Alligator mississippiensis: one gene and its partners. The protein of the gene in region 1 purifies or fractionates together with the protein of each later gene. This does not show direct contact. Links are inferred from orthologs where the notes say so. Each region holds a gene or a part of one and is shown in the gene's direction. Other genes may lie near its edges. The genes, in order: CCT2, TUBD1, TXNDC9 and PDCL3.

What was found.
Region 2: the proteins of CCT2 (region 1) and TUBD1 purify together in Homo sapiens (co-immunoprecipitation; 3 studies listed by BioGRID and IntAct, with this or other methods). This does not show direct contact. The link is inferred for Alligator mississippiensis from reciprocal best matches to the Homo sapiens genes CCT2 and TUBD1.
Region 3: the proteins of CCT2 (region 1) and TXNDC9 purify together in Homo sapiens (co-immunoprecipitation; 3 studies listed by BioGRID and IntAct, counting the BioPlex papers as one, with this or other methods). This does not show direct contact. The link is inferred for Alligator mississippiensis from reciprocal best matches to the Homo sapiens genes CCT2 and TXNDC9.
Region 4: the proteins of CCT2 (region 1) and PDCL3 purify together in Homo sapiens (co-immunoprecipitation; 3 studies listed by BioGRID and IntAct, with this or other methods). This does not show direct contact. The link is inferred for Alligator mississippiensis from reciprocal best matches to the Homo sapiens genes CCT2 and PDCL3.

The regions. Positions count from the first base shown.
Region 1 is NC_081827.1:69,973,996-69,981,029, forward strand, and holds the start of CCT2 (T-complex protein 1 subunit beta), read left to right. Parts: upstream 1-4,029; 5' UTR 4,030-4,170; coding exon 4,171-4,173; intron 4,174-5,079; coding exon 5,080-5,154; intron 5,155-5,911; coding exon 5,912-5,977; intron 5,978-6,085; coding exon 6,086-6,197; intron 6,198-6,452; coding exon 6,453-6,529; intron 6,530-7,034. UniProt on the Homo sapiens protein: Component of the chaperonin-containing T-complex (TRiC), a molecular chaperone complex that assists the folding of actin, tubulin and other proteins upon ATP hydrolysis.
Region 2 is NC_081837.1:3,663,937-3,670,964, reverse strand, and holds the start of TUBD1 (tubulin delta chain), read left to right. Parts: upstream 1-4,013; 5' UTR 4,014-4,200; intron 4,201-6,857; 5' UTR 6,858-6,877; coding exon 6,878-7,028. Other genes in the region: RPS6KB1 (ribosomal protein S6 kinase beta-1), read right to left, coding at 3,657-3,728. UniProt on the Homo sapiens protein: Acts as a positive regulator of hedgehog signaling and regulates ciliary function.
Region 3 is NC_081824.1:343,198,464-343,205,341, reverse strand, and holds the start of TXNDC9 (thioredoxin domain-containing protein 9), read left to right. Parts: upstream 1-3,859; 5' UTR 3,860-3,972; intron 3,973-6,517; 5' UTR 6,518-6,547; coding exon 6,548-6,736; intron 6,737-6,878. Other genes in the region: EIF5B (eukaryotic translation initiation factor 5B), read right to left, coding at 416-450. UniProt on the Homo sapiens protein: Significantly diminishes the chaperonin TCP1 complex ATPase activity, thus negatively impacts protein folding, including that of actin or tubulin.
Region 4 is NC_081824.1:344,239,404-344,247,262, forward strand, and holds the start of PDCL3 (phosducin-like protein 3), read left to right. Parts: upstream 1-4,839; 5' UTR 4,840-4,999; coding exon 5,000-5,005; intron 5,006-7,859. UniProt on the Homo sapiens protein: Acts as a chaperone for the angiogenic VEGF receptor KDR/VEGFR2, increasing its abundance by inhibiting its ubiquitination and degradation.

The DNA.
Region 1 (7,034 bases):
ACAAAATTCATTAAATAGATGTCACACGTTTATATTTTTATATATTTACAAAGGGCATTTTGAAATTTTTATTGCAGTTTTAATAATTATTTAGTATGGTAATATACATATATTGTGACAAAGTGTTCTGATATATCCATTACCTTGGTGTAATTCTATTTTATGTAGCAAATGTGTAAATACAAAGAAGATAATGTAAAAATATAATTAATAATTAGGTTCTGAGCCCTTCCAGGCAAGGATCGTCTTCCTATTTGTTTGTAAAGCACCTAACATGATGAGGCCCCAATCCTGTCTCATGTCCGAGTCCTACCATGATAGAAAAAATGCTGAAGAAGTAGAGCCAGATCCTCTGTTCTAGTTAAGAAGCCGGCATACCAAGGTGCCATGAAGCTCACCCCTCCACTTTCTGATCTGGAGGTCACTGTGTACATGGCTGTTTCGCAGACATGTTTCCCACACCATCTGCAAACAACCCAGAGGGCCCATAGCCGCAGAAGGGATATGTCCTCTTTCATTCCAGTTGCATACTTTGTTGGCAGGAGAGATGGGGTTATGTGGTTGGAATCTGTCTGTTAATAGACAGCTTTTGTACTGGGGCAATCTTCCAAGAGCTGAATATGCTTGGCTTGGCCCCAGTCCAATATCATTGAAGCCAAGGGGAAAGTACCTGTGACCATTTGGATCAGGTGCAAGATGAGATTTTGCTGGCAAAATGGTTGTGCTACGCTAGAGGACCTGGTTGGTCAAGTTCTTCAGAAATGGTCTAAAAAAAATGTAAAAAATATAAATATATTTAACTACATGTACTGAAAAACAAAAATTCCTATTAGTTGTGTTCAGAGTTTAGATTACTATGTGAATTCTGCTTTCTTAGTTATACTTGTGTGTATATTGCTGGAACTATTATGTATGAAAGAGGAAGTGATTCTAAAGAAATGGTTCAGGATTGCACCCATATTTTAATGTTTTTATTTAGGAATGGACATCAGCAACCTTAATTCCACATTAATGCAGTTTTTGCCTTGGAATATATGTGTATGTAGACATATGCTCACATTTTATATATTTGGTACTAACTTCGTATTTTCCCTGAAATTTGCTAAATCTTAAACACTGATGTTTTCATTTTTAAGACTTGGGTACTTAATGACTGAATGTATAGGAAATACTTCTGGTTTGAAAATGAAAATAGTATTATGGTATCCTGCAACTGTGTCCCCCAGCCAGCCAGCATGTTGCTGTTTCTTGCATGTAACATCTCCATTCCATTGTAATGTAACCTATGGCTGTTTTTTCTGAACCATTGTCTGTCCTAAACTAAACTACAGATTTGCAATTACAGTACAACTGAATACACTTCTAGTATGAAAGCTGACTGGTAGTTGTAGTACAGTAGCACCAGTGTGCCACAAATGCATTTATTAAATGCAGAAATATACATTTCTATACAGGCCAAAATCCTATGTTTTGTGTTTTTATTGTCATTACATTGTATGATATTGTAAGATTATTGTGTCCTAATTTGCATTATAAAATGTTGTTTTCCTACTTAAAGGCATAAATATAACAACTTTGTATAAAGGTAGCTTTCTAGATTTTTATTTCTTTTTATAAAAAAGTCTAAACAGTGGGAGTACCATTGCCAAATTGTTTATGAAATTTCCATGAACTTTGCCCTGCTGGATTTGTTATACAAACATTCCATTTTTTTCACAAAAAGTGATACCGTACTATGCAGAAATAATGTATTTTTATGCTGTTCCAAATTGACATATTAGAATTTAATTTAATCTTTGGTTTGCATTTTCATTATTGAGAGCTTACCAAATGTTCATTTTAAAAAAATGTATAATGTTAATATTGACAATGTTGTCCCCTTCATCAGTGCCAACTTCATTTTTTTTTTTTAAATTGTAGCATGGCAATAAAATATTGATTTTACATTTTGTGTGTGTGTGTGTGGATTACTTCTAATGTGAGGTGGGACTTACAATTTTTTATTAATATTACTGTGTTTTGCCTTTGGTGGGGGCTGAGGGAAGGGGAGAGACCAAAAGCTGTTCCAGTCTCTGGCACGCTATCACCTACGTTAGCCATTCTATAGTCACTCATTTTCTGCAACCTATTGCCTGAAAAATAAGCAGGCCTTAATAGCACCAGGCATAATTTCCAAATCTATTAATCTTTTTCATTGTGGTGTTCAGTTCTTTCACCTTCCTAATACACAGAAAGTTTTAACTCCCTGTGGGCATGCATGGAGAAAATTAGGAAGGCCAAGGCACAATTTGAGATGCAGCTGGCAAGGGACATAAGGCAAAGAAGGGGATTCTGTAGGTATCTCAAAAGTAAGAGGAAGCTGAGAGATTCCACAGGTCCCTGACAGAATGTGGAAGGCAATCTAGTCACAGATGATGCAGAGGAGGTTGAAGTATTTAATGCCTTTATTTTGCCCAAATAGGGGCAACTACCAGCTGGTGAGTGCAGTTGACAGTGATTATGGAAGGAGACAAATAGCTGAAAGTAATGGCAGACCAGGTTGGGGAATACTTAGAGAAGCTAGGTGTTTTCAAGTCAATAGGGCCGGATGGGATCCACCCAAGGGTACAGAAGGAATTGGCTGAGGTAAATTCAGAGTAATTGGCAATCCTTTTAGAAAACTTGTGGAGGTCAAGCAAGGTCCCTGATGATGACTGGAAAAGGACAAATATAGGGCCCATCTTTAAGGGGAAGAAGGATCCGGGGAACTAGAGACCACTCTGCCTGACCTCTATACCTGGAAAGAACATGGAGAAGGTTCTCAAGAAATTATCCATTGTGAAGTACCTGAAGAGAACAGAGTAATCAGGAACAGTTAGCATGGGTTCACTAAGAGCAAGTCATTCCCGACCAATCTTATTTCCTTCTGTGACAGGGTGACACGCTCTGTGCATAGGGGAGAGCAGTGAATATGATATACCTGAACTTTAGCAAGGCTTATGACATTCTCATTAACAAACTAAGGAAATACAGACTAGACACAAGTACTGTAAGGTGCATAAATAGCTGGTTGGATACTTGGCAAATAGTGCTCAATTTCTAGCTGAGAGGAGGTGTTAAGTGCGAGTCCTCAGAGGGTTATCCTGGGTCCAGTATTGTTCAACATCTTATTAATGATTTGGATGATGAGATCAAGTGCATGCTTAGCAAATTTGCAGATGACACCAAGGTGGGTAGAACTGCAGATACTCCAGAGAACAGGACTAGGATCCAGAATGACCTGGATAGACTGGGTAAATGGTTCACAGCTGTGAAAAAAACAAAAACCCAACAGCATCTTCAGTTGCATTAACAGGAAAGTCACTTGTAAACCATTGGGAGTGATCCTTCTGCCCTAGTCCAGACTGGTGAGGCCGCACTTAGGGTACTGTATGCAGTTTTGGGCCCGTCCAGAAGTGGCTGCTTTTTGGTGAGCGAGATCGGTCAGTGCAATCGGCCACCAGGGCCCCCCTCCTCACTGACTGGTGGCAGGGGGGGCATGTGCCCCCCGACTCAAAAAGCTCCAGTAACCCATGGGTCTGTTGCCTGAAAGTGAGGGGCAGGGCACAGGCATAGCATCTCCCCCTTACAATCGTATACCCCCTTTTTTCCCTCAGGTGTCCTCTTTTTTGAAACTGGAAATATGGTAACCCTACTACTGTGGAGCAGCCTTCCCTTCTCTCTGCCTCTCCTGCTGCAGCTCTGGCGGGAAGAGGGAAGCCTCCTTGGAGACGTTACAGCGAGGAGCCACGTTAATCGCAGGTGGAGCTGTAGCGCGGCCACACGTTCAGTCAGTTGCTGCTCGAGGAACGCGTCCAGACCGGGTTCGTTCCAGTCACGCCGTGAGTTGGCCTCGGGGAAGCAACACGGGTGCCAGCGTCTCAGCGGCAGTCTCCGCTCCCCAGGGCGGGGGCAAACGGAACACCGCCGCGAGCGCACACCAGCCAAACCGAAGGCGGAGCCCTCGACTCCCAGCATGCACCGCTCCCCAAGGCGCGTGCGCGCTGAGAGGCAGTGAGGGCGGCGAGCGGCCGGGCGGCCCAGCCTCTTCCGGCGGCTTACGAGCAACGCAACTTCTGGTGGCTCGCGAGGCGGCTCGTGGGGTCGGCTCGGTTGGAAGGCTTCACTCGCAGCGCTGCCGCCGCCGCCATCATGGTGAGTGTTGGGCGCGCCCGCGCGCAGGGGCCGGGGCCGGCTCGGCTCGGCTCGGCTCCTTGTGTCCGCGCCGCGTGGGTCTTTTTCAGCCCCGGCCGAGCTCCTGCGGCGGCGGCCTCGCCTCCCCCCTGGTCCGATAGCGGGGCGGGGCGGTCTGGAAGGTTCGAGGGTGGCGGGGTTCTCCCTCCCCCAGTCACGTGCCCACGATGGAGCGGGCGCTGGATGCCCGCGCGCCCCGGGACAGTAGCGCCTGTGGGGAGCGAGTGGTCGGGCCGGGCCGGGCCGGCGCCGCCGCCGCCTCAGGCCTCCAGAGAGGAACTGCAGAGATGAAGGAGTGGGTCCAGCGTGTTCCCCGAGTCCGAGCGGGTTTTACTTATGTTCTCTGGGCAATGCGGCGGGGTGCTGAGCGCCTGCCCGGCGACTCCCGACTCCAGTCTGCCCCCTTGAGTGGAGGTTATTGTCTCTAATTACAGCTTATTCCAGTTATTAAAAACACAATCAAACTATTAAAATGTAATCCAGCCCTGGCCAGAAAACACCCCTGCACTTCTGTGATTCAGCAGTAATGAGTTTATTACAGTTATTAAAAACATGAAATAAATTATTAAAATATATCCAACTGGACAGAAAGGATAGCTGCAGCCCTGTGATTCAGCAGTAAGGGGGAAGCTTTCCTTGTTGCTCATAAGGAAGTAGGGCTGGAAGGGACCTCACCAGGTGCAACCTAGTTCAGCCCCCTACTGGAGGCAGGCTCATCCCTTCCCAGCCAAGTGTCCAACCTGCTCTCAAGTTTTCCCAGATTGAGAATCCCGGTTTTGGTGGTAGCCATGTTTGCGAGGTGCGTTTTAAAAAAAAAACGCATTATATTAAAGCTGAATGCTGGATTTGTGACTGTTCTTGTTTCAGGCATCCCTTTCCCTTGCTCCAGTGAATATTTTCAAGGCAGGTGCAGATGAAGAAAAAGCAGAAACAGCTCGTTTGGTGAGTTAAATCATCTGTGAAACTGATAACATCTCGTATGCTTTCCTTACACCTTCTACATAACAAAAAAGGTTTCCTGGCAGTTCCTGCTATAAAACACTAGTATTGCTCATAACCAAAATGTATCAGTTAAGGCTGAAACTATTCTTGCTAGGTACTGCCTAACATTAACCTTCCAAAAAAGCCAAGTAAAAATGATCCAGGCATGCCTGAGAAGAAAATGAGAGAAATACTTTTCTTGTATTAATTAAAATCTTGCAACTGTTTTATTGAAAGGACTTGATGCTTGTCAGGGGGGCTTGGACTTCGGGATCATGCCTTTTGTTCCCATGGAAAAACGGCCACAATTTAGCTCAATTTGGAACTTTAAAAAAATATATAGTTTGTGATTCTTCATTAGACGCTTGCTAAATTGTAAAAACTACATTTTCTATGACTAGTAAGATTCCGCTTTTGCAGAGCGTTCTCTGTTTAGGGGGTTGAATAAGAACTCTACTAATTGTTGTCCCCAGTTGCCAAGGGCTCTGCTTGTCAGACATTGAGAATGGGAAGACAGTGAAGTATTCTTTTGGTTTCAGTGATCCCAATTCCTAGCAATCGATTGGTGAATTAAATGCAGGGGAGCCTGAGCTACACCCTACATACTAGATTGTGACTGTTATCTATGATATCTTCTCCAGTGAGTCTGAGATTCAGTTGATTGCTCAGAACAGAAATGATGATTCTTTCTCTGATAGCTTGTTCACTTTCATTTCAGTCCTCCTTTGTTGGTGCCATTGCTGTTGGAGATCTAGTTAAGAGCACCCTGGGGCCAAAGGGCATGGTAAGCTATTTGCAGGTTCTTAGAGACCATAACTGTTACTATTCCTTGCAGCTCTTGATGACACAAAGTACATTTTTCAAGTAGCTTCCTAAATCTTGCATCCTGTAGGACAAGATTCTCCTAAGTACTGGAAGAGATGGTGCAGTAACGGTAACCAATGATGGTGCAACCATCTTAAAAGCTATTGGAGTTGACAATCCAGCAGCCAAGGTCTTGGTTGGTGAGTTTTTAGCTAAATGTTCATCAGAGAAGTATTTTAAATACTTTTAAATATTTTTTTAAAGGATATTGCTTTTTGTTTATTCTTCTCTTTGCTTTCACTAAAAGCATGTTGGTGGTGCAATATTAGTTAATGCAGATAAGTGCTGCTCCAGGTAACAAGTATTCTGTATAAGCATGCGTAGTTCAAGTCTGTAATGAGTAGCAGGATACTAGAACCAATTAATTAATAGTGATGATTTTTTTTTCTCTTAAGATATTTCAAAGGTTCAAGATGATGAAGTTGGTGATGGAACTACGTCTGTAACTGTCTTGGCAGCAGAATTGCTACGGGTAATATACTGACAGTTCATGTTTTTAGTGCTGCTTTTAGCTCTGGTGTCTGAGTACTGTGGTATAGCAAATGCTAACACAACATGCAATTTGGTGTAAGCTTTAATGTACTGCCTACCTGTGGGCTTGCATGGATGAAACAACGGTCTCTCTTTGGGATGGGAGATGTACTGCTCACGAGTGCTGCTCAGCTGATTTATTGTAATTTTTGTTTCTGTAAATGGAGCTGAGAAACAGTAATTTATCTCTTAATGAAACTGGGGAGAGGGAAGTACCATGGGTAGATGAAACAATAATAGTGGATTCAGGCTAAACTGTGGTAAGTCTGCATAGTTTCCACCCCTGTGCCCAAATTGTGATAGAATAAAACCTCGAGAGCTGTCTTTATTACTAACGTTTAATTTTTTAAATTGTTTCATGTCTTATATTTTCAATTTTTTACAATTTTTATACTTACCTCTGTTTCTCCTGTTTTCTGTATCCAGATTATTTGCCAATGAATAGT
Region 2 (7,028 bases), on another chromosome or scaffold:
ACAAGATGCACTAATAGATGCCAACGTTAATTATGAAGGTTCAGTCATTTTGATATAAAAAGGAACTATTTGCCCTAAAATATATAGTTGAGTTTTGAAAAGTTGATTTGTTTCTTTTCCTTCCCTCTTTTTTTTTTTTTTTTAGTTTCAATTTGCTTCATTATGAGAGGAAGGAAAATATTTTCCCCGTCTATGAAGGCAGCCTAAACAGTGAAAACACAGATTAGCCAGAGCGCCACAGTTATTGCAAACAATTCTCTGGGCAAGCTTTCCAGTACATTTTTGTATATATAGTTGTCCAATATCTAGTTAAAATATCCCCTTTAAAGAAATCAGCTTTTGGTAGAACCAAATGACTTGGGAAAGTGGGAACAGATCAAATGAATGACTTGTGAAATTTCATGGGAGCAAGGGGGGGAAGCCACACAGAAGCCTGAGAACTGCAGACTAAACTAAACAGTACTTTTTAAATTATTCCATAAGTGATCACCTAAGCCAAGGAAAAGTAGAAGCTCTAAGTAGTTTCCAAATCAGGTAAACACCCTGGTAAACAGAGAAAAGTCGATTTTGCAGGGAATGCACTGAGAGGGAATACAACTCCTGAACTCACAAAAATCACTAATTGTGGAGTCATGCTTTAAGTCAAGTGTATTTGCAGCTATTTGACAATTAGTGGGAAAAGCCCAGTTCATAGATGTCCACTTTATAAGAAAAAGCACTGCAATTAGCTCTATAATTACAAACCCAGAAAAAGGGGAAAGGATTGGCTGTTCATTGAGAATGAACTCCCTACTCCTCCTTAAAGGTTCTCTCCTTAAAACAGAGCTAATAACTCACTCATTCTTGCAAAGCTTGCACTCCTGTCGACTGTAACTGCTCTCATTCTATGAACAGATGCATTCATTTTCCAAGTCTTATTTTTACTTGCATCAAATTCACTTTTTAAAATAGATTTTTAAAAAAATCACACTGTTCATCCTGGAAGCTAGTCTGTAAATACATCATGCATCTTCCCTTCTCTTGTCATCTCATACAGACAAGAGTTTGAGAACCAATTGTGTCCCCCCTGGGTGGCTACTCTTTGGAAACTATTTCTTACATGCAAACTCTCCAGTCAAAAGGTCTCACGTTTCACTTCTGAGGATTGTCATGTCCGTATGCAACACCTGTAACTGCAGCTGTTCTTGCTGCTGCTGCCAGTACAGCTTTCAGGAGTAAAAATGCTCTATGTACAGGACTGTCTAGTTCACACTAGCTTTCTACCCAGCTCATTTCCAGGTTGGCGATTTTAAGTTTTCAGTTCTATGCATCTTTCTGTTCCCCCAAACCACACATTATGCTAACTGGAGGCAACTTTCAGTAAGATGCTACATTCACGCTCTTCTAGTGCTTGCTCCCTTTACTCCCCAGTGCATTCTCCACTTCAGAATTCGAGGAAAAATACAAAACCATTGTCACTCAGCTCCTGTTCTGCTCTTCTTTCCTTGCTGATTATTTTCAGCATTACCCAAACAGTGAGTGCGGGTATGTGTCATGAACTTGGGAGTCCCACAGAACTCTTAGTTTGTCCATCCTGTCTGAGAGCTGTTTGGGCCCTCACCACTACTGCCAACTGTGCGCTGCAAATATTCCTCCTGCACAAGCGATAGACTACAATCACAGCAGTCTACCAACTACTGTTTAATCCACTGAAGTTAATTCTTGCAGATTCTAGGGCAGGAATTTGTTCCCTCTCATGGCTCATCAAAATCTGTTTTGGTAACCCTCGGGGTGTGATGCAAGGGACATTTTTGCCAGGCATTTTATTGACTACTGATGTACAAGCCCAGGGTTTCTTCCCACAGACTGCAAGTTATGTTGCCTTCAGTGGACAAGCAAAATTGTGTCTTTTCTTAAAATCTCTTTAGAGCAAGGGTGTTCAACCCCTAGCCTGCAGAGCCATGCCATCTGGCCCACAGGGGTTCCCAGGGGTCCAAAACTTTGCCAGTGGGAGTGCAGTGGCACCAACTGTCACTCCCCTTCTGCCAATTTCCAGACCCCTGGAGAGCTTCATGCACTGCACAGCACACTGGATCAGTGCACAGAGGTGGCCTAGGGCCTGATCTGGGCACACTGGGGCCTGATGGAGGCGGTGTGGGGCTTCAATCTGGGGCTAAGCAGAGGCAGTGTGGAGCCTGATCTGGCTCATGGATGGGCCCCTTGCCACTCATCTGGCTCGTGGCCCCAAAAGATTGAGCACCACTGCGTTACAGCAACCAGAGGCAGTGATGGCCTCCAAATAATCCAAATGAATACTAGTAAGAAAAAGGTTTTACATCACACTGAAGACAGAAGATTGAGCTCAGCTTCCCGCAGGCTAAATACTAGGAGCTCAGAAAAAAAAGGCACTTTCACTAGTATATTGAAGAGACTGTACCCTTGGTTACTCTTCTGTACCTACTATTCCCTAGATTTGGAGGAGACTGGAAGCTCAGGGAAGACTGACTTCCCATGTGTAAACTTTCGACATGCGCAAGGAAATGTTTATTTCCTACATCAGACTGTTACAACAGTCTATTAACTAACTAACTAAATAAAAAAAATCAATCAATCAAATCTTCGAGCCAGAGTAAAATAGGTGCTTTATTCAACTTGACGGCACACAGCGGCAAAAAGATCATTATTGCTAAACAGCCAGACAGCCAGTAAGGACAGTAGGTCCTGCTACGTTATCAAGGCAGCAACCAAGTTTGGCACCTTGTAACTAGCAAGAAAAGCTTTAAAAAAAAATAAAAAAAAAATTAAAATGTATGCATATATTTAGCACATATGACGCCATTTGTCACAAAACCACACGGAGCGAGGGCGCAAAGAGTAAAACAGACTGAAGTTACATCCCTAGCTCCAAACCAGTCTGGGGGCACTGTCATGCGTAGTTACGTCTGCAAGTTTGTAGGTAGCCTCCCACCCCACGTGTTACAAACACGGGGGATGTTTGAAGACATCCGAATAGCACCTAGAAAAACCGACGAGGAGGGCACAGTTCCCTAACCCTCTCGTCGCCCCCCACCCCGCTTCTTTACATTTAGTTTTCCTAATTTCTACCTATTTTCACCCTCACGGACATCCTGTCGCACTTTTAGCCTCTCGCATCCCTTAGAGATCTGAGAAGAGCGGAGACTCCTGAAGAAGGGCGACTGCACCCAAAAGCTTGCAAACAACTCCCCCTCTCCCCACCCCCGACGACTCAACTGTCAACGACTGGGTCCAATGAACGGCACGCCGACTACTGCTACTCGGTGTAATAAAAGACAGCAGTGAAAGGTAACGATAATAATAATATTAGTATAACGATAACGATAATAAAGTCTAATCAAAGATATCGCATCTGCCCACAGCACTTCCACAAGTTTAAGCCTCCCCCGGCTCTGAGGTGTCCCCAAAACGGATCCCCTAGGCTGCTACCGCTGCATGGGACACCGCTCCGCATCATTTGGGCTCAAAACTTTAAAAAACCCAAAACAAAACACCCTCCTCCCCCCCCCAAAAAACATCCCGAGGTAAGGGCAGAGGGGGGAGGGTGATAATGCCAGGAGGATGCGAGGGCTGAGGTGCAGCAAGGTGTCGGCCCACCCCCCGCCATGGCCGCTCCCGTCCGGCCCGGCCCCGCGCCTCACCCCCTCCTCCAGCTCCTCGTCCGAGCCCGCGTCCTCGGGCTGGTCCAGGTCGATGTCGAACACGCCCGCCATGGCCGGGCCGCCGCCGCCGCCGCCGCCCCTCCCTGGCTGTGCTGAGTGCGCGGGGCCTGCTCCGCCTCATGGGCCCACGCCCCTCAGCGCCGCCGCCGCCATCGCCGGCTCCAGGCCTCAGCGCGGCTGCGCCCCCACCCCGAGCACGCGGCCCGCGCAGGCGCCCCACGCCGCCCGGACCCCGCAAGGCGCATGCGCCGAGCGCGCCCTGGCGCCGGGGGAGCCCCTGAGCATGCGCGCATTCCACCGGGTGCTGGCACAGAGCAGGCGCAGAGCGTTCCGTGAAGCCGCCACACGGGGCCGACCTGCCCTCAATCCCCTACCCCCTCCGGCCCAACGTGCGCTCTCTCGGAGCATGCGCAGAGCGGGGTGTTCAAAGGGACTTCAGGGCCTCCGGCGGTGGGCTGGAGTGTGTGAGGGGAGTCCGCGCATGCGCCCTGGGGGGGGCTCCTGTAGCAGTTGTGCTTCGAGGGTAGGTGCTGAGGGGATGGGGGGAGGGGTCATGGGGGGCCGAGGGGTTTGGAGGGGGGCCCTGCTCTGAGAGATTATGGGGTCCTGGGGGGCAGAGGAATGGGGCAGGTGCGGGGGAGGGGCTCTGAGGTGATGAGGGGTGCCAGCAGCCCTGTGCCTGGGGGTGATGGCGGGTGCCCAAGGGAGTCGAGCAGTGCAAGCCTGGGGCCTGGCGGCTCCGTGGGAAAGGACCTGGGGGTGACCGCGGACAGTATGCTGATTACGAGCCGAGCGCACGTTGTCCAGACGGCGAAGGGGGCTCGTCGTGAGCAGATCGAGGGACGTCGTGTATGCCCCTGTATTCGGCGCTGAGGAGGCCACGGCCAGAGTCCTGCGTCCGGTTTTGTGACCCCCCCCCAACCCCCCGCTACAGGAAGGATGTGGACAAGTTGGAGAGGGTCCAGTGAAAACGGTTGGGGGACTGGAGCACGTGACGTACGAAGAGAGGCCGAGGGAAATGGGCTGACTGAGTCTGCAGAAGAGAAGACCGAGGGGGACTGAAATCCCTGCCGGGCGCCGCACAGAGGAGGGAGCTGGGCTGTGCTGGGGGGGGGGCAGATGCCAGAACAAGGAGCAACGGGCTCACGTTGCAGCAAGGGAGGTTTAGGTTGGATATTAGGGAAAACTCTCCCCCTAGGCAGGGGGTGCAGCGCCGGGACAGGTTACCCAGAGGCGGCGGCCTCCCCGTTCTTGGAACCGCGATACAGGCCGGGTCTAGAGCCCGCTGGGTTACTGCTTGTACTTTTCGGTCGTGCTTTTTGTAATTCACTAAAGCAAAAGCCAGAGAGCAGAAAGAATTTTTCTTTATTCTCCACGTTAATTATTAGAGTCGACTGCAACCTTATCAAATGATATGTAGCAATATAAATGCTAATCCAGCTGGCTTCCTAGGAATTGTCATCCATGCTCCTGAGCAGCTGCTGTTCACGACAAAGTGCTGACTGCCAAAGTTTCCCTATAAGCAATTTGTTTTCAGTGCTCCTTAACTGGAGGCTGTCAACGCTGTGCAGCATTCCCTTCAGTCCTCTTTCCCATTGCAGAGAGTAATTCTGTTCCAAAGCTAAATGGGCAAAATCTGACTTTGTTTTAAGCCATATCTTAGCAGATTTAAGAGGAGGTAGAGATTAAAGAGACCAAACTGATCATGCCCTGCTCTACCTCACCCCTTACATGCTCAGCAAGAGAATATAATCATTCCTCTGCACCCTTGATAAAAGTATACACTGTTATATACCTGTATTGATACCTTGAGTAAGTATTAACTTAATATTTAGAAATGGGGAGACAATGAATCGTCCACGGGCAGTTGATTTAACAGTGATGAATGCTGAATGTGTGCATAATGATGCTTATTCTTTTGCCTTCTGTCAGTTTAGCTCTTTGTCATTGTTGTGCCTGTATTGCACATAAATTCTCAGTTATTTGAGGCTGGATCCTGGGATGTTTTAGATCTTTCAGAAGCAGGAGCCCGTTAACAGCTGTAGAGACAGGATTACTGGTGAAGTGATCACCAGGCAGGTCACATCAGGCATGTTTCAGCCCTGCTATTGAAAACAAAATGGAGAAAAAGATCTTGCTTCCCACAGTGGGGAATGTCAGGACTTAGCATCCACAATTAAACTTTTATTTCTAGAATTTCCTACTGTTGCTACCATCAATACAGTCCCATCAGGGGGAACATTATAATACAGCCTAGTTGGCAGCATTTTACATCTCATTTCATTTACTAGATTAGGTAACCCACTAGTTTACAATGCTTGTATCTACGTTAGTGCTTTTACAATTGTTAGCAACAACATAGCTGAACCAGTGGCCACAACAGTAGGAAACTCTGGAAAACCAGTCTGAAAACAGCATTGCAGGCAAATAATTTCCAAACTATCAGTCTGTTCTTCATGGGTCAGCAGAGATTTGCACATGTAACAAGTCAGGGTGGCGCTGTAGCATTAGTCAGTGTAGTTCACCAGGGGTGAACTTAGCCATTAAGTTCCAGTTAAGTTTAAAAAAAAAAAAAAAAAAAGCAGTCCAAGGTCCACCTGAGCCTAATTGCTACTAGCATAGTTAAGGCACGCCAAGTGCTGTAGCCATCAGTAAACATCTGGCCACCTTTCAAATCCTCACCCTGATGACTAAGTATCCATTTATAGCTGGGTCAACTGGGAGCAGTCTTTGGCACAAGCCCAGAGTAAGGATCAAACTCATCTCTCTCGAGCCATAGTGAGACACCTTAGCCACTCTGTCAGCACAGCCTGGGAAGATGGAGAGGCTCTTTGAAATGAGACTGCCTTCAGTACCACATAAAACTCAGGGAGGCTGATTTTGTTGGCTTGACTAGCAGTTGGTGGGAACAAAGTTTCCTGCCCAATCCTCACTGAAACACATCACTATCCCTGTGGGGATGGAACGTGATTGTTGACTGCAGCCTTCTCCAAGGAATTTCAGCTACTGGATCAACACAGTTACACAATTTAAGTAGTTTGGGAAAACCTCTAAACATAGGGTGAATTATATCTGAAAAATCAGTCTGTTCTCTACCCAGGTTACCGAACTGCTCAACAGCTGCCTACTCATGACTTGTTTTAGCCATAGCAAATAAAAGCATACCTCTCTTTTTTTTAGGATTAAATCCAAAGTGAAGAATGTCAGTAGTCACAGTGCAGCTTGGTCAGTGTGGTAATCAGATTGGCCATGAGGTGTTCAATGCTATCTGCAGCGATTTCCACAGTACACATGGGCTGTGCTCCAAGAAGGAGAATGAATCCTATCAGGAAGCTTGTAAAGAACGTTTTT
Region 3 (6,878 bases), on another chromosome or scaffold:
CTCAAGCTCTCTCCCAGCACATACAGCCACACTGAATCACAGAAAGGAGGAGTGTGGGCATCTAGTCCCACCCCTACTCAGAGAAGGACCCTCCCCACCTCCCTCATCACAGCACACACTTTGCAACGAGCCCTCAGGGTTTCCTCAGCTCTGTTCTCCAGCATCCGAGGCAGAGGTATCAGGCCAGCGGCTCTCAGCCTGCTTCCACGCAAACCCCCCCGGGAAATGCCCGCCCGAGCCCCGCTCCTGCGGCACAGAACTCCGCCCCCGCCCGCCCGGGGCAGAACGCCGAGACCCCCCCCTTGGAACGCTGAGACACCTCCGTGGAACGCTACGTCACAGCTCCAGGTTCTGCCCCGCGGACCCCCCCGCGCGAGGGTGACGTCACCGCGGATACAGCTGCCCCCCGCGCTACCTGTCCTCGCTCTTGCCCTTCTGCTTCTTGCCCATGGCGGCGGCTGCGGGCGCTGTGGGATCGTCCCTCCGCGTCCGCCTCAGCAGGCTCCGGCCGACCACATCCGCACGCAACCCAGCGCATATGGTACGAAACCTCCACTGCGCAGGCGCCGTAACTCCATGACCCGGCTCGCCGAGTGCGCGAGACCCGGGCGTAGGAGGGACACTCCCCCGGCAGCTCAGTGCAGCCGCCCGCGCCCCTTGCGGCCGGCGGGGGAACAGCAGTAAGGCCGCGCCGCCGGCCTGCCCCGCCTGGGGACCTCGACGGCGCCCCGGACCAGAGACGGGGTGGGCTGGTGTCGCTCATTCTTGACAAAATAGGACACGAGCCCGACTCTGTACGGGCTCCATTTAGTGAGCGGGGGAAAAGCAGGAAAAACACCAAGGCCACCTGGAAAATCTCCTTAGCCCAGGTGCCCAAGAAAGGTCCAGTGGGTCAGCCGGCACCTCCTTAGGCCTCCCAGCACAGCCATAGGGAAAAAGCTCTCTCCCCCTCTCTCTGTCTGCGTAGGGTTACCGTATGTCCAGGTTCAAAAAAGAGGACACTCTTCCCCCACACCAGTAGGTGCATGCCACACAGACACAGAGACACGCACAAACATGCAGACAACGCCCCCCCCCCCCCCCCACTCCCCCAACACACACAGTGGCAGGGTGAAGATAAGCCATTTTTTATGCTAGCAAAGTAGAAAACAGTAATGAGAGTCCTGGATCGCAGGGACAAACTTGCCATTATTTTTAAGCTGGCTGCTTAACACCACCAGAAAAAATAGCTCTGTATTTCAGTACCACAGACACCAGCTGCTTGTGGTCAAAGAGACTGGCCAATTTGGGGGCATACCATCATCCAGTCTCCCTCTGGCTACACAATTTATGGTGATGGGGGATTGCTCACAGGCTCTCCCTCTAGCTTGCTCTGACAGTCTTTTGGCTAGGGACAAGTGAGACTAGGGGGCATCTGAACCCCAAGGCCTCTGGGTTTGGGGCTTGCACATAGGATGCCTGCCATGGATTTGGGCGTACCTGAAGCCCCAGGCTGAAGTCTGGGAGGGAGGATACTTGCCACTGGTAGCATCACGTGGACTTGAATGATTAAGCTCTGCTCAGTAGACAGAATTCAGAACTGATTCGGCTTTGGCTAATTTGGCCTGAGACACAAAATAAAAGAAAAAGGAATTGGGAAAATTCTTGGAGAGAAAGGAACATCGGGAGGTACTGGGCATGACAGTTAAGGACACAGCCTCCGAATCAGAACTTGTTAGACCTTAAATCAGGGGCAGGCAAAGGCTGGCCTATGGGCCAGATCGGCCCTGCAGCAGACTCCATTTCCCAGCAATCCCTGACCCATGAACACCACTTGCCCCCAGAGGCTGGGTGTGGGGGGGTACGGTAACCGCCTGCAGGTGGCAGAGGCCAGGATCTTGTGGCTGTGACAACGTGCTCCAGAGCTGGGGCTGAGCTGCAAACTGCTGCCCGCAAACCCCGGTGCGCCATGCTGGCACCACTGCAAGATCCCAGCCATAGCCCCAGAGCAGCTCCCTGCCCTGCTGTGCACCCTGCCAGCGATATTGTGGAAACCCTAGCCCCACACTATCAGGGCTCCTGGGGTCTCCATGGAAACTGGCCACAGAGATGTAGGCAGGGGCTGCTGGGAAATTGAGTCCAGCAACCAGCCAGATCCATCATTTTGCCCACCCCTTCCTTAAATGCGGAAGGCTGCAAGTGGGAGAGGAACCATGCAAAAAACCCTGGGCACACCCAACTCACTCTCCCTTTCAGCATCTACTCTGCCACTACGTGACACAGGCCTTTGGGTTGAACAGCAATTCTAGCTTTCTTCTAAGAGGCTTAGCCGCCAACTCCATACATGGTGTAGCCCCCATGCTTCAGGATATACACTATGTCCGTGGCAGTCAGTCTTCCTCTTGGTCTGTTCAGTGTATGTGTTGGCATCACACATGACGTTTTCCAGGAAAAACTTCCTGCCCCTGAGGCAGGGGGCTGGACTTGATGATCTTCAAGATCCCTTCCAGCCCTAAGGTCTATGAAATCTATGAAAACCTTCAGCACCCTTCCAGGTTCCCCATAAATAAGCCCTGAGATGTGCTTCATGCCCCCTCAGCAGGCCAGGCAATGGATCCAGGGCTTGGTGATGCCCTGGATGTTGTCATGCAGCACTTTGTGGTGCCACTTAGCACCTCCTTTCCCCAGCCCCTTGCCCCCATTTCCACAACCAGACATCTTCACACATCTTCTCACCAAGCTGGGACTGGACAAGATGGAGCTATGGTCGGACCCAGTAAATGGCAGTTTTTATGTTCCAAGACAGTGGCACTCAACCTTATCCCCTGGCAAGCCCAGACCCTCTGTGGTCTGGACCCAGTCTGTGGTCCAAACCCATCGCCTGGGGTGGGTGCGACACGGCCCCATCTGGCCACGTGCAGTGGGGTGGGGAGCACCTTGGCTCCCATCCAGCCACACAGGGAGAAGGGGCATGGCCCAGCCCCAACCTCATTACGCAGGGAAAAGGGAGTCTGGCCCAGTCCCATCCCATTTTCTTGAAGATAAATTCATCCCTGAAATGTGGAAGATGCCAAATTTTAGCCGATTTTGGATGATAAACTACATTGCTGAGCAACAAGGACATTTTTTGATACCTTCCCCACCCACCATGACACCACCAGGGAAGAAATCCTGTTTGATCTGCACAACAAAGAGCAACCTCACAAAGACACTCTCATGGAGCCAGAGGGACAGGCTTCCAGCTTCTGTTTCCTCTGTGCAAAAATGAAGTTTAATTCCTACATATGGGGATGTTTTACCATCTTGAACTTTCCCTGAGCCTGACAATGGGCGCGTAAGCCTGAAAGCTCGCAGAAAAAAGATATTTTTTTTCGCAATTATTCAGTTGGTCTAATAAAAGGTAGTGCTTTTGAACCAAGAGTTCTAGATTTTTGCATTTCTTTTGGTCTCAGACCAAGACGACTACCTCGTACCTCCCCATGCATTTTGAATACGTCTCCTGTAATTGACTGTACATGGAGCAAGGGCTGAAATTATCGTAGAAACAGCATAATTAACGTACATCTGGCACCACGGAGCCGCTTAACCGCCCGCTCTAGAGCCTGGGTCCGGGCCGGGGCTCCCCGTAGCGGCTGGGCCGCAGTATAAGACAGCACGTCGGGCGGCCGCAGCGCACGCCAGAAACAGCAGGGTCAGGGGGGAGTAAAGGGTCTTGGGAAATGTAGGCGGGAGGCGCAATGCATGTCGGAGCTCAGTGACGTCACGAAGGCCTCAGCTGACAACCGAGGAGTGGGGAGCGCTGCCCGCCTGTCTAGGGGCCTTGCCGTGAGGCGCATGCGCACCTTCACGTAACCACACGCGACAGCCAATGAGAGAGGCCGATACTGGGACCTAGCCCCACCCGCCTCCTTGTGTTGTTACTCGCTTTTGCTACGCTGGTGTGGAGCTGGGAGTGCGGCTGGCGTAGGACTCTCGGGGCGGCGCGCGGACCGGGTAAGCGGCACGGGGGGCAACGGCCGCAAGGGTGTCAGGTGGTCTCCTGCGCCAGCGCCGCCGCCTCCCCCTCTTGGGGCGCCTGTGGAGTCAGGCTGCGTGCGGCCGGGCTGGCGGGGGGTGTAACGGTCTCGCTTCGCATGCGTAGTAGCGCGCTCGCGCTGCCCAGGTCGGGAGAGGCCCGTGTGCCCCTTCCCCAGCCGCCTCCTGCACTGCGCATGCGCCCCATGAGGCTGCGCCCCGCTTGGGTCGGATCCGGCCCGGGGACCAGGTGCCTGGCTGCCTTTGACACCCCTGGTTTGGAGACTTTCGAGGCCCCATTTTCCTCGGAGTCTAGCTCTCGACCCTGAGCTGCCACCGTTAATGTGTAGGCCTGCGCCTGGTGGGCACACTCAGGGCCAGCTGTGTTTCCAAAGCTACAGACCACACTGTTTGGTAGAACTGGCAGGGATGTAAATGTGGGCTCTGGTGTGCACACCTGGTGCTCGGCTTCCTCCCTGCCACGGGTGTTGGTTGTAGCTATGTTGGTCTAAGGGCATAGGTAGGAAAGGTCCTTTGGAGATGGCGAGGTGCAGTGTTTTTATCACAGGCAGGCAAGGTTCCTTGGTTAGGTATGATATCTTTAAAAGATATCACATCTACCGAAAGAGCCTTGCCTGCCTGTGATAAAAACATTGCGCCTTGCTGTCTCTTCGGAGCAGTGAGCTCTTCCTCCTTCCTTTTCCTGGCTCGAGCTGGAAAACTTCGTTTTCTTTGACTCTTCCTGGAAAGTCTCATCTAGCCTTCATGAAACTCAGAGCCTGTTCCACATTGACAGCTCCTCAGAGCACTTTTAGTTCATGCAGGTCTCCTGGCTCAGGATAAATTTTTCTTTGAAACAGGTTATTTCAGTTTCTTCCTGCTGAAAAGGCAAAGGAACTGTTCCTTCTCCACTAGGCTGGATGTCTTGTTTCAACAGCTGAGCCAGGGACTGAGAAAATCAGCTGTGACTGGATTCATCATTGCCCCTGTTTGCAAGGCTCATGTTTACAGAGTTGCATGTCATCCTGAAAGATATCACTTTTTGCATATGAGTTCCTAATCCAATAGTAAAGGCTGTTTTTGCTTTGTTTCTCTAAAGCAGTGATTCTCAACCAGGGAGCCGTGGCATCTTGGGGTGTTTTGAGATATTCTTAGTACAGCTAGGTTTGCAAACATGACTCACAAGACAGACTCAGAGATTTCAAATGGGAATTCACAGTGTTAAAAACATCCTGACCTACTGTGGTCTTTTCAAGTTCTTTGCAGTAAAAGACTTGCTCTGGTAACTTGTCTTTTGAGTAAAGAAAATTAAAACGAAGACTTGGCATTTTCTGAGGGGAAGTCTTGAGTCTGACAAAGGGTGTTTGGAGTCTAAAATGGTTCAGAACTGCTGTCCTGTAGAGTGTAGGGCAGCAAGAAATGGGCCTGATCAAAATTTTAACAAATGGCTTATTATTTGGTATTGTTATTTGTAGAGGTGCACTGATACATCAGTCCGATATCGGATCAAACTGGCTGTATCAGATATCGGCCTGATGGAGCCGAGAATTTGGCCGATAAATGCCCGTGCTGTGTGCTGCCGCAGTGCAGCGCAGGCAGCAAGGGGCACAGCCTGGCAGCATGGAGAGCTGCCTCCAGCTGGTAAGTCCAGTGTGATGGAAAGGGAGGAGGGAGGGAAGGGGCATGGGGGGGGCAAATCAACCCCACCTCTGTGGTGAGGGAAGAGGCAGGGGCAGGCACTGCCTGAGGAGGGGGAGAGAACCTGCTGCTCTTTGTACTCCCGAAGGGCACAGGGGGCACATGTGCCCGCCGGATGGGGATGGGGCAGGCTGCAGCCAGGACTTCGCCGGGCTCTTGTCGATGGATGCTGGGCTTGGAGCGGGTGCCGCCGCATTTGGAAGATGCTGCATCCACCCCAGATTTCACTGCTGCTCTGCTCCCAGCACTGCCACCACCAGCTGCCTGGCGCCAAGCCCAGCTCTTCCCAGCACATGGGTGGAGGCAGGGCATTGATCTGTGGCTGTGCTGGGAGGCTGGCGGTGCTGGGAGTAGAGCGGCAGTGAAATTTGGGGTGGATGCAGCATCCTCCCAGCACCACTGGCACCCATTCCAAATCCAGCCCCCGCTGAGAAAAGCCCTGCGCACCCCTGGCTGCAGCCTGCCCTGACCCGTGCAGATTTGAGGGGCACATGCAAGCAGCAGCAGGAACCACCTCCCTCCCTGTGAGCTGCAGCTCCAGGCCCCGCACCCCCCCCCCTTGCACCCCCCGGCAGTGCCTGCTCCTGGCCCCTCCCTCACTGCAGGGGGGGTGTTGATTTGCCCCCCCCCATGCCCCTTCCTTCCCCATTCCCCTTCCACCACACTGGACTTACCAACTGGAGGAAGCTGTATTGGAAATTGAATCAGTATCAGCCGATATGCCTCCGTAAATATCAGCCCCCAAAATCTCTATCAGTGCACCCCTAATTATTTGGGTGTTATTATGTGTTGTTTAATTCTAATTTCATGACTTGTGTTTTCATAGCTGTAAGAAGTTTATTGTCTATCCTGAAAAATGGATACCAACCCTTCTGTTGAAATGTTTCAAAAAGTTCTGGAGAATCAGATGCTTCAGACTACCAAGATAGTGGAAGAAGAGCTGGATGCTGAGATCCAGAAATTGGACCAAATGGATGAAGATGATTTGGAACATGTTAAACAAAGGAGACTTGAAGCTCTGAAGAAAGCCCAGCAGCAGAAACAAGTAATATTTTCTCCAGCATTGTTAAATTCTGACCTCATGTTTAGCAGTAATCTTTGCTGACCTTGTAGTGATGCCGCTCGTTTTGAAAATCTTGAGGAGCTATAAATTTGCCCTGTTGGCATCTGACAAAAATGAATGTTTG
Region 4 (7,859 bases), on another chromosome or scaffold:
AGAATAAAGCATGCAAATAGGAGTACCTTCAGTGGAGCAAATGGTATAAGAATACCTGTTTCCTGTGAGCAGGTTATCTTGGGTAATCCTGTTTACCGAGGGACTTGGCCAGGATATTTATTTTATTTCTTGAAGTGGATTTTCAGAGGATGGAGGTTCTCTCCATTTGCCATTCATAGGTTATGTTTCTTGACCAAATCAGAAAAGCTTTGATAGTGCTGCTGGCCTACAAAGTTGCCCAGTAAAGTTGGAAAGTTTGTTCCAGCGAGGGATGTTGTGATGCTGAACTAACTTGAAAACTGAAAGGGGGCCTGGGTTTGTTCTCTCTTATCAACTGAATTATTTCAGTGTTATACATTGGGAGTAAATCTGTATTGAGCAGCCTGTTGCCTTGCAGAGTACAATAGTGGTAGTGAAACAAAAGTGGGGACTTGAGTATAAAAAGAATGACTTCATAGTTTCATAGTAGCTAGGGTCAGGAGGGACCTGAACAGATCATCTAGCCTGATCCCCCTGCCACAGGCAGGAATGAAAGCTGGGTTCACAAGACCCCAGACAGGCGATCATCCAACCTCCTCTTGAATTTGCCCAAGGTAGGGGCAAGGACCACTTCCCTGGGAAGTTGGTTCCAGATTTTGGCCACCCTAACTGTAAAATATTGTCTTCTGATCTCTAACCTAAACCTATTCTCCATCAGCTTATTACCATTGTTCCTTGTCACCCTTGTTCCTTGTCGTGTGAGGAGCATCCTTGATGTGCCCTATCTTTAAATGGGGGATAAAATCAAAATAGCATTGCCAACATTACTGAGGTATGTTGTCTCGTCACTTAGACCAGGCCTCTTACAGTTACAAAATATGAAGTTGTACTATTTTTATGTATGTGTTACGATGTGATCTGTGGCAAGCCCCTGTATAAGCATCCACTTTGATATTGCATCAGAATTAGTCTAAATGTGTGCATGTAGACTGTGATGTAGGTTATAGCTGTGTTGGTCTAAGGACAACCTAGGCAGACAAGGTTCTTTGGGTAAATCTGATATCTTTTATTAGACCAAAGCAAATAGTTGGAACATTCTTCTTAGCAAGTTTTTTTGGGTATAAATACCCTTCATCAGGCTGAGGAAGCATCTGCAGTTGGTGTGTGCTCTTCCTGGATGGAATGAATAGTAAAGACTTACACTGGTTTTCCAAACTGGCATGGTTTCAGCATGTTGCCATGGCATAAGTCAACTTTGCCTAGCCTGAGTAAGCATGTGTGTTTTCTACCTGGTGTGAACTACAACTACTATCAGTGACTGACTGTTAATCTTCTTGCAGTATGTGGTTGGATTTTTCCCATGCATCTGCTTCAAGCGTTTAGCTTATCTGGAGGTGACCTGCTGGTGGGGGTAAGGTGTTACTTGCTAGACTCAATATGCAGCTCTTTAACGGAACAAATGAGTGGGGAAATGAAACCAAGGTAAAGAGCTACATTTTGGTGGGGGGGGGGGTTATTGCTTCCATTATTTATCTTCTCTCACTTCATAATCTATTTACTTTGTGATTACCCCTTGACAAAGACTTTTGTCTCCATCTCTCTCTGACAACCCACTAAACTCCAGGTAGACATAAGAGGATTATGTGGCCTAGCCCTTACAATTTTCTCTCGTCTGCCCCAGAAACTTTGTATGCTGTCTGTCTGCCAGGCTTCCAAGCAGCCTGTTGCACGAGATTGGCTTCAGTAAGATTATCTATTTTGTTTTGTCAGTAAATTGCACTTCATAGCTCCTATTACTAAGGACCCCTGGACCCAAGGCCAGAAAAGACAGTCAGGGGAGTGATGGCCAAGTTTATATTGTTCATATTAAAACAACCTTTTGGTCTATATAACTGAGGATTGGAGGAATGTGGCAGCTGCACAGTTCACATGTGGTTGTCACTAGGTGGGATATTTGGACCTAAAATTAAAGTGCCAGCTTTTTGAGAAATCCTTATCTCAAAAGCACTGTGCCCCAAACATCTATACAATATCCAAAATCAAATTTCTATTCTAACAGACCTCTTAGTGGGTTGGTGAGAAACAAATCTGCTGTTACTACTTAATTGTCCATGGATCTTAAGTACCAAATTGATAGGTATTGTACAATATCCTGGATGTATATAAAAAGCATAGGCTTTTAATAAGAAGGAAGAGTAGTGCTAGGATGCTTCCTAACAGTTCTGGGAGAAGGCAAAAAAGCTTCAACATGCCCAGAACTTAGTGTAGTATGTGTTTTCATATAATTTGATAAAAGAGAAATAATGTCATTTATTGAAATGCAAAGTTTTAGTTTGGAACTATTATTCCAAAATGTTTTTTTCAAAGTAAATGTTGCCAGGTGCTAGTCTTAATGAGTTTCAACACATCAAAGATCTGTTAGCAGTGAACAGATGCAGGATTGCTAACATGCCTGTTTATTTGTTTATTTTATTGTGATAGTCTTGGGCTCTAGTCAGTAGTAGCACCTCATTTTGTTAAGTACATCAAACATAACAAAAACAGTCCCTTCCCCTGAGGTCTTACAATCTAAGCCTTCAGTCTTGTAAACTTTTACTTAATTTTACTCCTAATTAAGTTAATATAATCAGATGCCCCATACTCACTCAACCAGGTGTGTGGAGAATATCTGTACCTATGAATAGTTCTAGGATGGCAACATTTCCAAAAGTGCTTGCAGAAATGGTACCTTAGCCTGAAACTAACTTAGTCTCACTCATCTAAGTCTTTGTCTGGCAACCCAAGAAAATAGCCGAATCCCACTTATGTAAATAAAGTGCTGGGACTTTCTTTCATTTCTTTATATAGCTGTTATGAGAAGAAACAACAGCAGGGGAGAAAAAAGAATAACTAAAATCTATGCAATTGCAGCCCTTGATTAATTTGGAATATTCTTGTCATTTTAGACTGGAAAATTTTAGTTAACCATATATTCTTAGCCTTTCCATAAGATTTGTTTTTTTCCCCTTTAAGATAAAAAGGCTAAGAGTCTCAGTGTTTCATAACATGTTGAATTTCTGTGGGTTTTGTTTTTTATTTGTTGAGGTTGGATTATGTTGCACCATCTTTTTTGTGTAGTAAATACACACTGGCCCCAAGCCTGCCAAGTTTTATGCCCTACTGAAGTTTATGCATGAAAGAAGTCCTACTGTTGCTAATGGGTTAACCATGTAGCATAGAATTTAAGAAGGTGTGTATATCTATATCTATCTAAAAGTCTACATCTACAAGTGCATAAAGTAGTAGTTGAACTTAAGAATCACTCTAGACCAGAGGTTCCTAAACTTTTTCTTATTATGTACCCCCTTCCAGATTTACCAGCTGCCCATGTTCCCATTCCAGCATATATTTTATATTTTAACTCCTTAGATGCAAATTATTATAATGAAAATTAAATCTGTCATTACACAATTTCTCCTGCGTACCCCCCTCCCCCACCAGAGATGTCTTGCATACTGCCAGGACTATGTATCCCACAGTTTCGGGAACCTCCTCTAGATGATGGTATTTAGACCCTGACTTCTGAGACATTAAGTGATTCTTCACCTTTATTACCTATAGCTCTTTAAAAAAATCCACAGGGAGGTAGCAGGTGCCTAGAGAAGAGGTACACAGTCTTGGTGGATATTAACTAATGTAGTGTAGCTATTTCCTACCCGCTTCCCTGCCCTCATTTTGAGCAGTGCACCCTTGAGGGAGTGTACATGTGGTAGTTCCCTTGAGAGGGGGCAGGAGATTCATAGATTGAAAGGGACCTTGGAAGAGCATCGGGTTCAGCCCCCTGCCCCAGGCAGGAAAGATAACTGGGGGTCAGGCGACCCCAGCAAGGTGACCTTCCAGTCTCTTCTTGAAGATTTCCAGGGTAGGTGATTGCACCACCTCTGAAGGGAGCTTATTCCACAGTCTGGCCACCCTGAGCGAAGTTTTTTCTAATGTTGAGCCTGAAATAGCCTTCTGGAAATTTGGCCATTACTCTTGGTTGCCCCTAAGGGTGCCCTGGTAACAGTTGTTCACTGAGCCCCTGATGTAGTGGTAGACTGTTAGCAAATCCCCTCTCATCTCTTTTTCAGGCTGAAGAGTCCCAGATCCCTCAGCCTTTCCTCGTATGGCTTGCTGTGCAAGTCTCTGATCATACAGGTGGCTCTTCTCTGGACTCTGTCAAACTTGTCCATGTCCTTGTTAAAGTGCAATGCCCAGAACTGGATGCAGTACTCCAGCTGCAGTCTCACCAGTGCTGAGTAGAGCAGAAGAATCACCTCCTTGGTTTTGCTAGAGATGCATCAGTTGATGCATGCCGGAGTATTGTTTTCCCTGCTGGCTACAGCATCGCACTGCCAGCTTATGTTCATACTATGGTGTATTATGAGCCCTGGGTCTTCTTCATTCATAGTGCTGGTCGGGTTGGCATTGCCAATTCCCTTGAGGGAGGGTGGTGTGTGTGGGTTTGAGAAAGTTTACTTGGGGGGGGGGGTGAGACACACACACACACACACACACACACTCTCTCTCTCTCTCTCTTCCTCAAGGGTGTGTGTATGTGACAAAAAGACAGTTTCCTTGAGGGGAGGGGGGTGTGAGTATCACACACACATCCTGAGGGTGTGTTTGTGATAGGAGACATATAGTTTCCTCGAGGGGAGGGGCGTGTGTGTGTGACAGTCCCCAGGGTGGAGGTGTGAAACAATTCCCTCCGGAGCCCAGCGCAAGGCGCGGGTAGCGCAGCGCAACTGTGCGGTAACCCCGCCGCCGGGCAGCCCTCGCTGCTCGCCTGCGCCTGCGCCACCGCCTCCCTCGGTCTTTCGTAGCGTGCGGCCAGGCAGAGCAGCGGCCCCAGCCCTTATAAGGCGAAGGAGGAAGCGGGTGCGGCGCTGTGACACGCTATCCGGCCCGGGGAGTAGGCCGCCGCCGCTGCTGCTGCCGCCCTCTCCGCGTGCGTGTCCCGGGCGGCGATCGCCGGCGGCCGGAGCCCGCTGCGGACACTATGCAGGTGAGCGCGGGCCCTGCGCGCTGCACGGCCCCCCGGGGCCCCGGCTCCCCGCGCCCGGCCGCCTCCCTGCCGCGCGCAGGGGCAAGGGGGAGCCAAGCCAATGGGGGAGGGAGAGGAAATCCACCCACCCACGGTCTCTGATCCTTGTCACCAGGGCCCAGTCTCAGCCCCACCGCCGCAGCCAGCCCGGGTTTGTTGCAGTGGTGCCGGGTGTCCGACCACTCGGATTTGTGCGATCATTTCAACCCTTGCCAGATGCGCGATCTGTAAGAGAAGAAGTGTTCAAAATATAGGATAATGTTGGAGGCAGCTCATTGATGCAGAACCCGGGTCATTCCTGGGAGTTTTAACTGACTCTGGGGCACTGTCTTGTGCCCGCTTGCCTTGAAATAAAGTAATGCTTCAACTTTGACTCACTTCTTCCTCACTCACTAGCGAGTTATAACGAGCAATATAAAGTAAATAAGAAGTCTTCGTTGCCGACTTTTTCAGGGCACGATAGTTTTTCAGCGAATACGATCATTTTGAGCTTCCAACACAATACTTTCATATTTAAGACCTGGTAATGCTGCTTTGTTGCCCTTTCTCTGTTGTTGTTTTTTTCCAGGCCTGCCAACACATAGCTTTCGCTGCCCATGGTTCTCCACCAGGGTTGCCCCCCCAGGTCCTTTCCAGGGTCTCGTCAGGCCCCGTTGGCGTGAGTGGCAGGATAAGCCTGGGGTATCCCTATTGGTACCTGTAGTGTCACAGCCATTCAGCCCTGCTGGGGTCCATCGGAGGGCCTCATTTCACTTACGCTGGGAGCCGCACTAATGTTGATCAGTGTTATAGTAGCTTGGGTTTTTGGAGCAGTCGCACCCTCGATCTAGAAACCACCTCCTGAGTGGCTCCTGCCTGCACAGCTATGACGGGGAGCTGTAGCTGTGAGCTGCCACTGGAGGGCTGGTGAACCAGGACAGGTTCCTGTCCACACTTTACAGGCAGGGGTTTGAGAGATCCTGGAGGACTTGATTTTGGGCAGCACATCTGTGGAGAGCAGGCACACCTAAATGGAACAGGAGCTGGGTAGTGCAGAGGAAAGAGAATCCTGCCCTGGAGTGGTATAACTCTGGACCACATAACAAGGGTTTAAAACCACTTCAAGGTGTTAATGTGCGGACAACCCAGGGTTTAAGAGCTCTAGGAGGAGCCTATCATTACCATGTAACAAGGCCCTCTGATTCTTGTCACCAGGGCCCAATCTCAGCCCCACCTTGACCGCCAGCCTGGCTTTGTTGTCTTGTCCCTGGTTTTTATTCCAGAACTGCTGTACTTAACGCTCGCTGCTCTTGGTTCTCCGCCAAGGTGCGTTGAGATCCTTTGAAAAGTCTTGTCAGCCCTGGTCAGCATGAGTCGCGAAAAGTCCAGGGCTTTGCTATAGATACCCATAGCATCGTGGCCATTCAGTCCTGCTAGGGTCTTTCTGAGTTCTTTGCAGCTAAAGACCAGCTCTGCTGTTCTCCTAATTTCAAAAGACAGGTGAAAGGCAAGAGCTGGCATTTGCTGAGGGGAGGGGGTTGGAGTCTGAAAGGATTGAAAGCTGCTACCCTAGGAGGAGAGAGAAGGAAACCAAACTTGCAGACTTCTGCACCTCTGGCAAAGATGGCTCTGCTGACGCTCAGATCTGTACAGTCCCTACAAATGTTCCCTGAGCACCTGCACTGTCTTCAGTGTGGTCTGTAAAGAGCCTACCAGCCCTTCCATGATAGCAGGCTTGCAACATAACTGGCTGAGGAGAAGAGTGGAGTGTCTCTAAGATCTCTAATGAATTTTGCCAAGTTTAGAAGAAACTAAAGAACGTGGTTCAGTTTTCCCAGTCAGCAGCCTTAGAAATATGCCCAAAGCTTTGCAAGTCTTCTTGGAAAGTTTCTGTTTTGTGTATCATCCATGCAACTTTTGCTGGCCAGTTTCTGCCTTTAGTTGTGCACTCACAGAATTTGACCTTGCAATAACAGGAGCTTTGCAGTTTTGTTGGTGACATGAGCTGGAGAGATGAAGCTAGCCCTGGCCTTCTGCAGACTTGTTGGCTATGCAGCTATGGCTCCTTTGATTAGTAGAGTTTTATTAAAGCAGATATTTTGTGAGTTGGACTTCTCTTCAGCTTTCCAATGTCTTACGCGTATCTGAGAAAAAGCTATAAAACAATATTCAATATTATCCAATGGCACCTTTTTGTTTGAAAACAGTATTTTTTTTTTCCAAGTTAGTTTGTATTTCCATTGGGGTATCAAAAGGAGCTGTTGAATCATTTAGCCCTCTATCTAAGTGTTAAGTTTTTTGATCATCTCCTTCCTAGGCATCATCTATTTCTACTGCATCGGACAAGAACCTGTGGAATTTTAGATTCCTTATGTTCAGTCACACCAGCTTAGTTTAAGCTATATACTTATAAAACAGTGCAAAATTCAATGTAGATATTCTTATTTTGGTGTAGAAGCAGTTTATCTGGGATTTTTTTCAAGTTGACTGCATACTGACTTGGGTGAAATCATAATAAAGGTTCTTACTACATTATTGCACTGATTTAAAAAAATGTTTTAAATTGATTTTTTTTTTTTTTAAATAGGTTGCTGAGAGTTTCTTGAATGGATCTAGGCCCAGATCCTTAGGAGTATTTAGGTGCCTCTGGGCTTTTAATTTGTATTAAAATTTATAATAATTGTATCACAACAATTTTTAATGATAAATGTACCAACTGGTTATAGGTTAGCCTGCTTTTGACTGGATTTCCTGATGAGGACTTGCAGACAGTTTTCCATGCCTAGCTTCAGGTACATGAATAGTTTCACCAACTTGTGTTTGCTATGGAGATAGA